2 linked regions of the Mus musculus genome follow. The protein of the gene in region 1 purifies or fractionates together with the protein of each later gene. This does not show direct contact. Links are inferred from orthologs where the notes say so. Each region holds a gene or a part of one and is shown in the gene's direction. Other genes may lie near its edges.

What was found. The genes of interacting proteins can lie anywhere in the genome.
Region 2: the proteins of Psma7 (region 1) and Psmg3 purify together in Homo sapiens (affinity purification with mass spectrometry; 3 studies listed by BioGRID and IntAct, with this or other methods). This does not show direct contact. The link is inferred for Mus musculus from reciprocal best matches to the Homo sapiens genes PSMA7 and PSMG3.

The regions. Positions count from the first base shown.
Region 1 is NC_000068.7:180,034,693-180,041,959, reverse strand, and holds the end of Psma7 (proteasome subunit alpha type-7), read left to right. Parts: exon of another isoform or gene 1-321; intron 322-2,480; coding exon 2,481-2,607; intron 2,608-3,110; coding exon 3,111-3,235; intron 3,236-3,772; coding exon 3,773-3,895; intron 3,896-4,457; coding exon 4,458-4,577; intron 4,578-4,959; coding exon 4,960-5,022; intron 5,023-5,386; coding exon 5,387-5,479; 3' UTR 5,480-5,593; downstream 5,594-7,267.
Region 2 is NC_000071.6:139,822,076-139,829,708, reverse strand, and holds Psmg3 (proteasome assembly chaperone 3), read left to right. Parts: upstream 1-2,814; 5' UTR 2,815-2,987; intron 2,988-3,344; 5' UTR 3,345-3,365; coding exon 3,366-3,581; intron 3,582-5,635; coding exon 5,636-5,788; 3' UTR 5,789-6,096; downstream 6,097-7,633. UniProt on the Homo sapiens protein: Chaperone protein which promotes assembly of the 20S proteasome. May cooperate with PSMG1-PSMG2 heterodimers to orchestrate the correct assembly of proteasomes.

The DNA.
Region 1 (7,267 bases):
TAGCCGGCGCCGGCGGGGACTTGGGGATCTGCGAGCTAGGCCCAGGTGGGCGTTGTGAACAAAGGGCGATTCGTCGGCCCTGCGATGGTGACAGGCTGCTTCCGGGTCCGCATGCGCCACCGACGCCGTGTTCTGGTTCCGGTGGGCCCTTCTCACCGCGCCCCAGTTTTGTTCAGTCCTTAGCACTGTTTGGAAAAGGACTCCCCACACCTGTAAGCGCCAGCAGTGAGACAGTTTTAGTTTTGGTTTTTGTTTTTCCCGAGTCACCGGATCTTCCGGAACACACGTGGTTCCGAGTCTTGAAACGCTTACATTTCCCAGGTATTTTATCTCCTTGAAACTAAAACCCCAAAGCTTTTGGTGACCCAATCCACCCAAGAACTCTGGAATGACAGGGCTTGGAAGTGCAGGCCTGTATAATCCTGGCATTTAGAAGGTTGAGGCTCGAAAAATCTCACAAGTACAAAGCCAGCCTGGGCTTCTAAATCTAGAGACCCTAAAGACTTCTAAAACTATAAAGACTCTTTGTGGTTGTGTGTGTGCATTATTAATTTATTATTTTAAAAGTTATTTTTATGTGCGTTTGGCCGTTTGTCTATATGTATATATCTGTGTGAGAGTGTCAGATTCCCTGGAACTAGAGTTGCCATATGGGTGCTGGGAATTGAACCTGGGGTCCTGTGGAAGAGCAGCCGCTGAGCCATCACTCCAAACCCAAGAGATACAGCTAGTGAGAAACCGTCTAACAAAAGAAAAACCTGTGAGGCCAGTGAGGTGGCTCCCTGCACTGCACCTGGTGACATGCCTGGAATCCCAGTCTGGGAGGCAGAGGCAGGAGGATACACTGGGCTTGCTGATCAGTAAGTGTAGCAGAATCTGTGAGCTTCAGGTTCAGTGTGAGACCCTATCTCAAAAAACAAGTTGGAGGGCTGGAGAGATGATTTGGCAGTTGAAGGGTGCAGATCTGTTCTTGAAGAGTACTGAATTTAGTTTCCAGCACCCAGATTCTAAGGATCAAAACTGCCTTACACTTAAGCTCCAAGGGCTCCAGCACCTCTGGCCTCCATGGGCAGCTGTACTCAGAGGCACAGACACAACATACTTAAAAGTAAAACTGCTTTTGACGTTGGAGAAGGGTTGAGGAAGACACCAGTGTATAGACCTCTGGGCTCCACGCATTCAGTAGGAATGTTCTAGAATCTGGGGTGCCTGTCTCCAGTGCTCCCAACTGGCAGCTGCCTGCTGCATCCAGCTAGCTTTGGATCCTGTAGGTCACAGGAATCAACACAGAAGGAACGTGTGAAATCACTCCAGGCCCTTGGTGAGCCTTGTGGGAGGTTCCTGGTATCTGGAGGTCTGGGCCCGGGAATCCTGTTCCACATCAGAGGGAGCTGGCAAGGGGCGGTGCCCTCTACCCAACCACCCTTTCCGGGATTGCTACATTTGTTTCTGTTCCTCTCTTGATTGAAGGGTTAAGTGAGGTTTCCTGGGTTTATTGTGGGGTTTTGTTGTTGTTTTAACAAAATTTCAATCGCTGGATTTTACCAATGAAGACTCAGGAACCAGATACTGGAGTGAAAGCCTACTGGCTCCTAGAGGCAGAGAAGAGCCCAGCTGACCTTCCTCAGTCAGTGTCCCACCAGGAATCCTGCCCCTTCTCATGCTGACTCAAAAAACCTTCAAACTGAATGTCCCTCCTTTCTGCTTCCTTTGTCTCTATCCATCCTCATGATTTCTTCTTACTCTATGGTTTTTGTTTTTGTTTTTAAATAATCTTCACTTCTGGCCAGCTGGTTGCATGTCCTGCCTCTTGACTTTATTTAATCTCGTTTACAATATTCAAGCAGAAAGTCCTTGGGCTAAAGGTGTGAGCTGAGGCTGAACCACAGCTAAAAAAATGTTTTGTCTTTTAGTAAACAACACCATCAACAGTATGACCAAATAGCCTACAAAATTTTTTGGTTTGATTTTGATTTTGGTGCTGGGCAAATGCCATTCCACATCCCCTGGCCCATTTTCCCCTGTCTATACAGGGACCACGTCCTCCCTTCTACAATCGCAGCCATGGGCAGGGGGGTGGGGGTGTCTTAAACAGTGGATTGTGCTTCACTTTGTAGCATACCGGGTCCTGCCAGTACTATGTGCATGCAGTGTGAACAGGCAGGATTGTGGCCTGGGGTTTAGTCACCTCAGGCTTCTACTCAGGGTCTCAGTGATACAGTTGTAACCGCCTCAGTGCTTTGAGGGCATGAAATTGGCATTCAGGTCCTGATAACTTGTCCTGGTCCTCAGGAGCGGATCTGGATCCTCATTGTGGTACAGTTTGTCAAGCGGTAGACCAGATATGGGTGGATTTACTTTTCTGCAGGGCTCCTGCACCAAGCCTATCTGTATGTGCCTAACCCACTCCATTCTGCTGTGTCAGAAAATAATAGCTGTCCTCATACGATTCTTAAAAGTGACATGTATTTTCATTTAAGGTTGGTGTTCGAGGAAAGGACATTGTTGTTCTTGGTGTGGAAAAAAAATCAGTGGCCAAGCTACAAGATGAAAGAACAGTACGAAAAATCTGCGCCTTGGACGATAACGTCTGTATGGCCTTTGCAGGTATAAGTTGAACCAGGGTGGCAAGCAGAGCATTGGTGACAGGTTGGAGGGGATGGGCAGTTGTGACACGTATAAACTGGGTAAATGAAGTGGATATGAGCCGCTGAGTTCCAGGCTAGCCTGGACTACAGAGCAAGAACAGCAGTTGTAGCTTGGGATCTCTCCTGGGGATTCTTGGACCTGACTGCTGCTGTTAGTCATGTCTGTATCAGCAACAGTTCCTGACTCTCCGGTCCAGGAGCACCTGTGGTTGGAGGGATGACAGGAGCCTCCTTGCTGAGCCTCACTTGCACTAGAGATGTCAGGTATCATCCTCAACAGATCCAACCTAAGAAGTCGCAATTCCCTAAACAAAACTGAGTGCCAGCATGACTGCATCCACAGTTGTTCGTGTACTTGCTTCTTGGAACAGCTTGCAGAAGCTGGTGTGCTTTGGGATGTGGCTTGACGTTCTTGACCTTAGTCGTATCCATGAGCTGCCCTGACAGGAACCTTTGTCTCAGGTCTCACCGCTGATGCAAGGATAGTCATCAACAGAGCCCGGGTAGAGTGCCAGAGCCACCGGCTGACAGTGGAGGACCCAGTGACTGTGGAGTACATCACCCGCTACATTGCGAGTCTGAAGCAGGTAGGTGCTTGCTTAGGCACTGTCCGCCATCAGGGTGCTGTGTGACTTCATCTTGCCAGTCTGTTGTCTCTTCTGGCTTGGATTCATCCTGACTCTGTTCTCTGGAGGGGAGTACGAGTATTTGTCTTGCTACTCTGGTTGAGAGGGTGCTGAAAGGCACCCCCAACTCTGTAGTAAGACACTCAAACTTTAGAGACAGCTTATAGCTGGAACATGTCAGCCTGTGTTGAGATGACTTCCAATAATCTCAGCAGTTAAGGACATTAGCTGCTCTGAGGACCCAGGTTCAATTCCCAGCACTCACAAAGTAGCTTACAAGCAGTCTCTAACTCCATTTGTGAGAGATCTAATCCCTCCTCCTGACACAAGACACAACGCACATAAATAAATCTTTGGGTGTGTCTAAGAGGAAGGGGTGCACTAAAGGCTGTTCTCCATCCATCTGAATTGCAGGTGGCTTCCTTTTCTCTCGGCACTAACCACTTGTCTGGCATGAACTTTTGTGGTTGATGGTGCTCACTTTTTTTTTCCTTTCAGCGTTATACACAGAGCAATGGGCGCAGGCCATTTGGTATCTCGGCCCTAATTGTGGGTTTTGACTTTGATGGCACTCCCAGACTCTATCAGACTGACCCCTCGGGCACATACCATGCTTGGAAGGTAAGTCGTTTCAAAACAGTGGAACTTTAGGCTATTGGAAGGTACTGAGCTAGCAACAGCAAACAGATAATCTCTGAGCTTAGTTCTACACGCACTGCCTGTTTGTTCCATGTCGTGTGTATGAAATCGGAACATTCTACATTCCCATTTGGCATTGTATCAATGGGGAATGGGATTGTGAGAGGACCTAGAGTGAAATCTCCCTAAGTGGCTCTTGATAATAAAGAACTTTCACCGGGTGCGGTGGCGCACGCCTTTAATCCCAGCACTCGGGAGGCAGAGGCAGGCGGATTTCTTGAGGCCAGCCTGGTCTACAAAGTGAGCTCCAGGACAGCCAGGGCTATACAGAGAAACCCTGTCTCCAAAAAAACAACAAAAAAAAAAACTTTCATTGTTGGCAAGGATCAACACCAGGTGATAATAGCCTTTTCAAAAAAAAAAAAAAAGTAGGACTTGGGTCTGTGCCTTCACTTCTGGAGAGCCAACTGTAGACCATGAAGGAGGGAGGCAGCCTCTAGCCAGCTACTTAGACTGGCTCTACTAAGACACACATGTGTTTTAGGCCAATGCCATAGGCCGGGGCGCCAAGTCAGTGCGTGAATTTCTGGAGAAGAACTACACAGATGATGCCATTGAAACAGATGATCTGACCATCAAACTTGTGATCAAGGCACTGTTAGAGGTGAGTGTACTCAGGAGACCCCACCCCCCACCCCTAACAGGGCAGGCCTGCTGGGTGACAGTGGCATGGTTGATGGGTTCTTTATACAGCTTGGTCAGTTGGGTTAGCATGAGAAACAGTGCTGTGCTGTAGAATGCCCGGCTCAGGTGACTGGGGTCTCTTCCAGAGGCTTGTGATGCTGAACTGTGGAGTTGGAGTGCATGTAGGCTAAGCCAGAGTGAACAGAGCTGGAAATACAGGCCTTGAGCCCCAGGGGCCATTGCTGTGCAGGCTGGAGGTTACAGGGGCACCTTGCTTGAGTAGGCATGACTAGGCAGCATTTGGGACAATAGATGTTCCATCTTTGAGGCCAGACACACCTTGACTCTTTGCCTTCTTCAAGGTGGTCCAGTCAGGTGGCAAAAACATCGAACTTGCCGTCATGAGGCGGGATCAGCCGCTCAAGGTAAGCCTACTTTTGGGTGGAAGGGCTCTGAACCTTGCATACCCAGTTATGGGTGTGTACTGACATTGAGTTTTGCTTTATTGGTGTCATTTTCTTAGCTTACAGGACTGAAATGACTTGGGGAAAAACCTCCCCAGGCCCTGTGATATTTGCCTCTGAAGTTTACTTTCTCACAGGGCTGTTTCCTATTAGCTCCTGGCCCTTGCTTAACAACATTCCCACTCCCATCTGACTCCCTCTGCTTCGAGGTCATGCCTTGCTCCCAGAAGCACTCCATAGGGCCGTTAAAAAGTAGCCTCCCTACTCTGTGGCGCTGTTTGTGCCCTGTGTGGAGAGATTAACCGTGATGCTTCTTGTGGAGCAGATTCTAAATCCTGAAGAAATTGAGAAGTATGTTGCTGAAATTGAGAAGGAGAAAGAAGAAAATGAAAAGAAGAAGCAAAAGAAAGCATCTTGATGAAGAGGCACTGGTCAGAGCAGCTTTGAGCCTCTATCCGGGCAAGCCTCGGTGCTGTGGGCCTTGTGGCCATTTGTCCGAGTTCAATAAACTACTACATTTTTTAACTCTGTGATGAGAACCTGTCGTCATTTGGGTGCAGCTGTGGTTGAGGTGGGATCTTGGTGCCTTTCTTGCATGAGTGCTCGCTCCATCCACTCAGGACGTACACTGAAGGTGTAGCAGGTCCTGGGTTCTCAATACATTTCCTTTTAGACTTTTGGTAAGGAAAGCCTGCAGGTTTCAGTGGTAGAAAGCCTAGCCTGTGAGGCTAGCACGGGGCACTTGGTGGTGCTCTTCCAAAGGGCTTGTGTTTGGTTCCCAGCACTCACATCAGAGAGCTTACAAGTGGCTCCAGTTCACAAGTATGATAGATGTATACTCAGTGATATACACACATACACAAACCTGGAGGGAAAACCTCCATCTCCCATACCACCCCAAACAGCTCAGTGCTCAATCCATTTTCCTGTTTGCCACATTTTCTACGTTAACTATGAGGCTACCTTTTTTTCCCTTGGCTAGAATGTACTTCCTCTTGGCTTCTAGACCAGTTTTTCCTGCCACCTGCTTTAGCTTACAGCTTTTCCCCTTGCCCTGCCCCTTCCTTGGTTTACAAGTTTTGTAAAAACAAACTTGGGTCAAACTTAGCGCCTAGCACAACACTGATTTAACACTGACTCACAGAAAGAAACCCCGTTCAGTCTTCTGCTTTAGGAGGTGTCTTCCACCTAGCACATACATTCTTGTCAATGGTCCCAAGGCTGATGGCCTCCCGCCCTCAGGCTCCTTCAGCCTGAGGACCATGCATCTCTCTGGAGGACTGGAGTGTTCATCCCAGCAAGAACCGCCCTGTCTACTTGTCTGTGGCCACCAGGTCACTTTTCTGGTGCACCATATATTTCCCCGTAAGTACCTCTGAATCCTAACCTGCATGTGCTTTCGACAGGCAAGACACAGGTGACGGACAGAGGCAGCACTTGAAGAGTCCAATGTTTATTTAGTTTGCATTTCCCCAACAGTGGCCCCAGTGCTATGTTCTACTCTCAGCTCTGAAGTCCTACACAAAGATAAAGCCAAGCTTTCACGCTGTGGCTTCATCAGTACAGAACCAAAGCTCTGTGGCTATTTTACGCCGTGACTTCATCAGCACAGCACTGAAGCGCTGTGGCTTTCTGAAGGGTTTGGGTTATCAAGGTGCTTGTTTTCAACAGTGCCCTGTCAGTCAGAGGATGCATGCTTATAGAGAAGATCTGACACATTTACTCATGCAACAAATTTATGTCCCCGCCCTCCCTCCACCACCTTTAAAATAAACACATAACTATTTACAATCAAGGAAATAAGGCCAGTGACCTTAAAAAAAAGAAAAAAAAAAAAAGACTGGCTCATTTAAAAGTGAATGAGAACACTTAAGTGCAGCCAGAGGCTGAAGCAGACAGGAAGGTTGGACACACCACACCACACGAGCTTGCCTTGGGTTTCAACACTATGCCTCAGTGCCTGTGGAAGGCAGGCAGGCTCTACGTGACACTCACGCCCTTCCCACTACTTCACTCATCCCGTTAGCCCCCAGCACTGAACATCACTGGTTCATTACACAACATGATCCATGGAACACCCCCCCACCCTGTCCCTGCCCTGGCCCTCCCACCCCGTGTGACTGGCTCACCCTGTGCTGGCCCTGCCTGGCTCCTGAGACTTCCCACTTTTAGCAGTTGGGGTACCAGGCCAGCAGCACCAGGGGCC
Region 2 (7,633 bases), on another chromosome or scaffold:
GATTTCTCCAGGCAAAGCAACACGCCAGCAATTTGCTTTTGCTGTGTGTGGGCGGACGGGTGTTTAAATTTAGAACCGACAAAAAGACTTTGCTGAGAAATCTATACGCTCCTTGCTTCTTGAGTATTAGTGGCACGAAACCCTAATCTTCCCTCTTCACGTGCCAACTGTGAGAACGCTCGGAAACTCGTTTCCTCCCGATCTCTGTCTACTCCCATCATGCTTTGTATGCATGTCTTTTCTTTTACACCACCAAGAAATCATTTTGGAAGAAGCGAGCTTCACACGACTCAATGGAGCTTGGATAAGGAGTCATTAACTCAAGGAAAGAGAGGATACATTTATTGAGGAAAAATGCTTGAGCTGTCTAAGGACTTTAGTGTGTAAGCAGAAGTGTGGCTTTTTTCAGAACCGTCAGCAGCAGGCACAGAAAGGCTTCTGGGATGGAGTTTCCAGGACTATCAACCTCTGGGGAAGGGGCTCCAGGCTGCAGTTTCTCCCAGTATCTTCCCAAGTCTTTCCCAGTCAGTGAAACTTCTCTCAGGGAGACATGGTGGGGTTTTCTAGTTTGGGTGCAAGACTCACCCTGCAGGACAGGGCTTCCTCCTACTTTCCCCTGAGCCTCAGTGAGGATCAGGGGTTCCAGGCATTAGCTGGGACCTGATAAGGGTCAGTGACCCAGGTTCCAGCATCCTTTGGGTCTCAACAAGAGTCAGGGAGCCGGGCCAGGCATCAAGTTGAATGTCCAGGAAGGTGAGGGTGGGGTCAAAGCATTTTATTTTCAAAGGGCACTCACGGTGTTTCTGTCTTAGGGAGCTGCAGAGATTAAATGATCTAGGCATACTACAAAGGAATGGGTAAGGAAAATATGTAGTGTATACACAGTGGGGATTCAGCCATGAAGAAGAATGAGATGGGTCTGGGGAGATGGCTCAGTCAGTTAAGATCTGGCCTTGCAAGCACACACACACACACACACACACACACACACACAGAGAGAGAGAGAGAGAGAGAGAGAGAGAGAGAGAGAGAGAGAGAACCAAAAACCCAAAACAAACAAAATAGAGGCCATATTGAAAATCCAGGAGGTCTGGTACAGCCTACAATCCCAGCACTAGGGAAAGGGAACAAACCTAGACCTGATCCCCAGCCTTGCCGACAGCCAGCCTATCCTAATTAGTAAGCTCTAGGCCCTGGCTCAAGAAACAAGGTATAACGGGCATGGTGGCAGCCACACCTTTCGCCCAAGCAGAGGCAAGTGAATCTCTGAGTTTGAGACCAGCCTGGTCTACGTAATGAGTTCCAGACCAACCGAGGCTACACAGTGTGATTCTGCCTAAAGAAAGGAAATAAGAGAGAGTGGGGAGAAGGAGAGAAAAGAACAAAAGAAAGAAGAAGGGTAGAAGGGGCCTGAGGAAACTGACCTCTGACCTTCATACATATGTATACACACACACACACACACACACACACACACAGGAACCCACACACAAAAGAGTGAGTTTATGTTATTCTTGAAAGTAGATGAAACCGAAGATAATCGTGTTAAGCAAATTATGCCAGTCTCAGAAAGACAGACACCATATGTTTTCTCTGACTGGTGGGGCCTAGATTTTACATAGTCACACTGAACCGTGTGTGTGTGTGTGTGTGTGTGTGTGTGTGTGTGTGTGTGTGTGGTGTACATTTAAGAAAACAAACAGGAAGGAGGGGAGAAAAGGGAAGATAGAGGGAAGGGGGATATGCTCAATTTACAGTCTATAATTTTAAGAAAAAAGTGCTTTGATTTAACAGGTCACCATTAAGAGCACCACTTGTTGCTCTTGCTGAGGACCAGGTTCAGTTCCCATCACCTACATGGCAGCACATAACTGTCTGTAACTCCAAATCTAGGAAACACAACACCCTCTTCTGGCCTCTGTGGGTACTGCATGCACATGACACCATATACAGGAAGGCAAAAATACTCATGCAAATAAATAAACAAACAAACAAATACTGTTTAATTCTTTTAAGTATTCTGCAAGATGAACAATAATTAGTGTAAATGAGACTTGCTCCTCGATACCCACAAGAAAAAAGGAAAAAAATGAAAGAAAGAGGGAAGGAGAAAAAAATGATGGTTGGGATTTGGCTCAGTTTGTGAATGCTTGCGTAGCATACATAAACTCCTGGATGTTATCCCCACACCAGCAAACCATGTGTGGGGTGTGTTCCTGTCATCCCTGCACTTGGAAGGAGAATCAGGAGTTCAATATTTTCCTTGATCAACCTAGGGTACTTGTGACCCTGTCTCAAAAAACAGAAGAGGAGGGGGAGGAGGAGAAGAGGAAAAGAAGGAGGAGGAGGAGGAGGAGGAGGAGGAGGAGGAGGAGGAGGAGGAGGAGGAGGAGGAGGAGGAGGAGGAAATAATCCTAGAACTCGGGAGGATATGTGAGTTTGAGGCCAGCCTGGTCGACATAGTGAGTTCCAGGACAACTAGGGCTACACGGAGATACCGTGACTAAAAGAGGCAAAACTGACAGACAAACAGACGAAACAAGTTACTGTATATTAAGTGTGCCTTAGCCAAAGCCAGGTACACACCAAGTGAAAACAAATATTAAAATATTAATAATATTAAAACAAATATTATTTTGTGTCCACAGCTAGGACACAAAGCTCCCTACACAGGTGGTCAAGCACCGCCACCGAGATCCTGGAGCTCGGAGAGGCACACTGTCCCTTTAACACGAAGCCTGGACGGCTCCTTTGCAGCACGGAACCTTAGGCCCTGGGACTGCCGTGGCCTACGGACCTTAGGCCCAACGGACAGGAACCGGAAGTTCTCGCCGGGACTTCTGCTAAACCATTGCTGGCTTAGTTGCTCCCTGAAACCGCTTTCTGGCGCTGCTGGTGGGGTGAGCGCTGGTTGCCGAGGGTTTCGGTCCCAACTGCTGTCAGTAGTGATCCAGCCATCCCCAGTCCTGCGCCGTCGGGGCTCCCCGGTGAGCTCGGCCGTTTTCCTCATCCCTGATAATCTGGAAGTGGGACAGCTAGTCGCGGGGATGGCGGTCATCGCAAGCAGTGCGGCGGGACAAAGACGCTCACAAAAGCCCGCACGAGCATGCGCGCACTCGCTTTTGGGTTGGGGCGTGGTATTGATAACAGGGTCTCCCCCATGTAGCTCAGGCTGGCCTCGAACTGGGACTTCTCCAGCCTCAGCGTCCCCTGTCCTGGGATGGCAGACATGTGCCACCACGTGCAGCTTGGAATGGGCCGCTTGTCATTTCTGCTGTCGAGCTCCAGGTTGTGTCCGATTCTGATTGCTCCATCCCTTGTTTTCTTTTCTTTTAAAACTAAAGCCTCCGCTGAAGAACGGGACCATGGAAGACAAACCACTGGTAGTATCTAAACAGAAGACAGAAGTGGTGTGCGGTGTGCCCACCCAGGTGGTCTGCACGGCCTTCAGCAGCCACATCCTAGTTGTGGTGACCCAGTTCGGGAAGATGGGTACGCTAGTGTCCTTGGAGCCCAGCAATGTGGCCAATGACATCAGCAAGCCAGTGCTCACCACGAGAGTCCTCCTCGGGCAGGACGAGGTAATGGGAGTTGAGAGCATCTTTTTTTCTGCTGTCATTTGTCCATAGGGATATGGGGTGCCTGATAGGCACAACTCCATACGTACCCAAACTATGCGCAGTGAGCATTTTCCAGGGCCATTCTGGACTGAGGGTGTCCTGGCTGGCTCGAGTGATGCTTTTCCCAGCGTGTTAGCATTTTACTCAACACTCGGGGAGGGATTGATTTTTATGACATAGCCATTTCCTCAGTTTGACCCTGTCCTGATGGCTCTATGTTTATGTCTGCTTCTTGAGTCTTGACAACAGTTCCCTTTGCAGGCCTGTCTGTCTTGATTAGGAGTAACCAGAGAGACGGTAGGCAGAGGTACCAAGGAAAAGTCTTAATACTGCCTCCTGGGCAGTTCCCTCTGTCTGCTTTATGCAGTCCACGTGGTGCTCTGAATCACTGTTGTCCTAGCTTAGGGGGTTTGGGGAAAGCGTGAGACGCTGGCCTAGGTCTCTTAAGGAAAGCATTAGGAGCAGACAGTGTTTGTCCCCAGTGTGACTATACACACCTGTAATCCTTTCAGGGGGAGGCTGCGGCAGAAAAATTGCTACAAGTTTGTGATCAGACTGAGCTGAGGCCAGCTAAGGGATAGACCTTATTCTCCCTGCATAAGCAAAAAAGAAGGAGAAGAAATAAAGCAAACTACTGGTTATGGTGACATGCTGGCTGCTGTAGTCCCAGCACTTGGGAGGTGGGATCAGGAGAATCAGGGTTCAGTTTCATTCCCATAAGGCTTGCTTGGGCTACATGACACCCTCTGTTAGAAAGGCAGGGAGCATTGAGTTGGCTCAGGGGCTAAAGGGTATGCAAGCCTGATAGTCTGAGTACAGTCTCACAATCCCACAGTGGACAGAGAAAGCTGACTGCTACAAGTTGTATTCTTTTATATGTGTGTGTATATGTGTATATATATCATAAATATAATATATATAATATTATATATGATATGTTTATTATATTCTATATAGATACATAAAGATATCTATATAAAATGTTATAATAGTCATTTATAATTTTAGTAGAGCCTAATTAGCCATGTGCTCATGTTTAATCTTGGCACTTGGGAGATGATTGTAGGCCTAATCTCCATGGCAAGTTCCAGATCAGACAGGGCTACGTAGTGAGCTCTCATCTCAACAGCAATTAATACAGCTGTACATAGTAAGCTCTTGTCTCAACAAAACCAAATGAATGAATGACTAAGTAGCTCTCAGCAATGGAGACTGAGGAAGTGGCTCAGTTCATACAGTGCTTGCAAGCACAGCCTGAGAGTCCTCAGAACTCACAAGAAAGCTGGGTGTGGGGCTCAGCGTGGTGCAGACCTTTCCTCCCAGCGCTGGGGGCTGACTCAGGCCGGTCTGTGCAAGTGTGCGGCCAGCTTCATCTACATACCAAGTTCTAGCAAGGGCTGCTTGGAGAGACCCTGTCCCCCAAAGGGAAAACGAAGAAACCCTGCGGCGAGGGCGGGGACAGGAGGATCCCGGGGCTTGCTGGTTAGGCAGGCAGTTGGGCCTAATTAGTGACTTACAGGTCAAGAAGAGATGCTGTCCCAGAGTAGACGGCTGGTGTTCAGGATGATTCCTGAGGTTGTCCCCAGGCCGCCTCAGACGTGCACATGCTCACACTCAAAAAAAAAAAAAAAGGACAAAGAAATGAAACTGGATATGATAGCACATGTCCAGAAATCCCAGCTCTCAGGAGGCTGAGGTAGGAGGATTGCCATGAGTTCAAGGCCAACCTGGGCTAAATGAGTTCCATGATACTACAAAAAATGACAACCTGTCTTTAAAAAAAAAAAAAAAAAACAAAACAGAGCCAGGCATGGTGGCGCACGCCTTTAATCCCAGCACTTGAGAGGCAGAGGCAGGTAGATTTCTGAGTTCGAGGCCAGCCCGCTCTACAAAGTGAGTTCCAGGACAGCCAGGGCTACACAGAGAAACCCTGTCTCAAAAAACCAAAATAAATAAATAAAAACAGATGAGGTTTCCTGCAGTCACAACCCTGTCTTCCTCTCCCTCCCTCCCAGCCTCTCATCCATGTCTTTGCAAAGAACCTGGTAGCATTTGTGTCGCAAGAAGCAGGAAACAGAGCCGTCCTGCTGGCCATGGCTGTGAAAGACAAGAGCATGGAGAGGCTCAAGGCATTGAAGGAAGTGATCCGGCTGTGCCAGGTGTGGTGACCTGCCGTTAGCAGTGCCAGACACAGACGTATGGACGCTCGGTGAGCGGGGCCTTTGAGACCCATCTTTCCAGCGCCAGGAGAGAGCTCATTCCAGGGCCTTTAGTCCTCAAAGCTGGAAACAGCACTCAAGTCTCAGGGACTCTCCCTGCGTGGCTACTGTGTTCTGCCTTGGGCACTGGAGCGGGGCTGGGCTGCAGCAGCTGCATCCACTGAGTGGAAATGAGCGGCCGGTTATGAGGACAAGTAATCCTGGGTGTGCAGGAGCACTTGTGGGAAGATTTTTTTATTAAAAATAAATCTAAAGTACTTGGCTGGCCTTCTCAGTGATCCTGAGACATCATGGGCATATGTTCTAGGTTCACTTCAGGACACCTGAGGTGGGAGGGAAACCTGTTCGGCAAAAGTACAGTACGTGGTTGCTGGGTGTGAGGTAGATCCTAGGTGTGCATTCAGCCAGCATTGGGTGCCGTCCCTCCCGTGCTGGGGGCATGGACCAAGCCTCAAGTTACAGAATATGGTGAGAGACAGACATGCAGACACTGGACATGCAGCAAGCAGAGCAAAGGTGGCCATGCTGGTGGGTCCCTAAGGATGAGCTGGGTGGGAGAGCCTGGGATGCGGGTGGCAGGCAGAGGCAAAGGGTGACCCTGAGCTCAGAGAGGAGGAGGGGTTCCGACATTAGGCTGGCATTTGTTCCGAGTTGCCCTGTTGGTGCCCATCCCTCTGAAGAGTGGCATCCTGAGACCTGGGGTCTCCGGCCACAGGGATGGGGGTGGCCCCTGATCACAGTTGAGTGGGAATTTCTGATTCCAATGGAGAATCTGCTCTGACATTCTCATGGTCACCAGTGGAGAGGAGACCACAGAAAGGCCGGGTAGAGAACCTTTCTCTAGGTCCAGGGATGACCAGTAAGCTTGGCTGGCCACTTTCCACTTAGGTTAAGTCAGGACTAGCTGGCCTCAAGTCTTGATCCTCGTGCAGGTCGATGCCTGCTGTGTACTGAGTCCTGTTCCCCTTGGGAAGCTTGGGACCTCTCCAGGGATAAATGAGGAGGGCTGTAGGCTGAAACCAGGTCACCTGGGATGGGAGTAGGGACTGCAGACTTGACTCGGGATCACCCTTTGGTCTCTTGCCTCCCAACACCCCACGGATTTCCCATCCATCGGAATCCACCTGCATGGCCACCTTTTCTCTGCTTACCACATGCCCAGTGTCTGCCAGACTTCTGGAAGGTGTCACTGCCTAGAGCAGGAGTATCCCAGAGCCTCTGAAGGCCCTGTTCCTACCGCAGCTCCCAACCACCACCTCATCACACCCCCATTCCTGATAGGCACCTCCCTCACACCTCTTTCCCCTTAGTCCATCCTTTCCCAGACCCTGGGTAGGCTGGTGTTGGGGTCTGGCACCCACCCAGGTGCCCCTTCTGTAACCTCTTACCCATCACTCCCAGTTGCCATCAGCCTCTGGAGAGCATGGACCACCAGGAATCTCCCAGGCCACTCAGATGAAGGAAAGACCTGCATTGGGTACACACAGTTGGCAGATCCAGCCAAAGCAGGACTTGCTCAGGGAGCCCTGTGCGGTGGCTCTGTACAAAGGTCTCTGGTATCAGCCTGCGATTATTCAGATAAACAACCAACCTGCTAGCCCCAGCCTCACTATCTTAACAGATAGCACTCTGGGCGGGGCTCAAGGCCAGGTCCAAGTTCAGGTTTGTGCCTTTCTAAGCAGACAACAAAGCCAGATCACATGGCCCCATCTGGTGACCCATCACATCCCTTTCAACAACTTATCCCTGACATCTGCCTGCCTCCAAGAGGCCAGGCCTTGCAGCAGCTGCTCC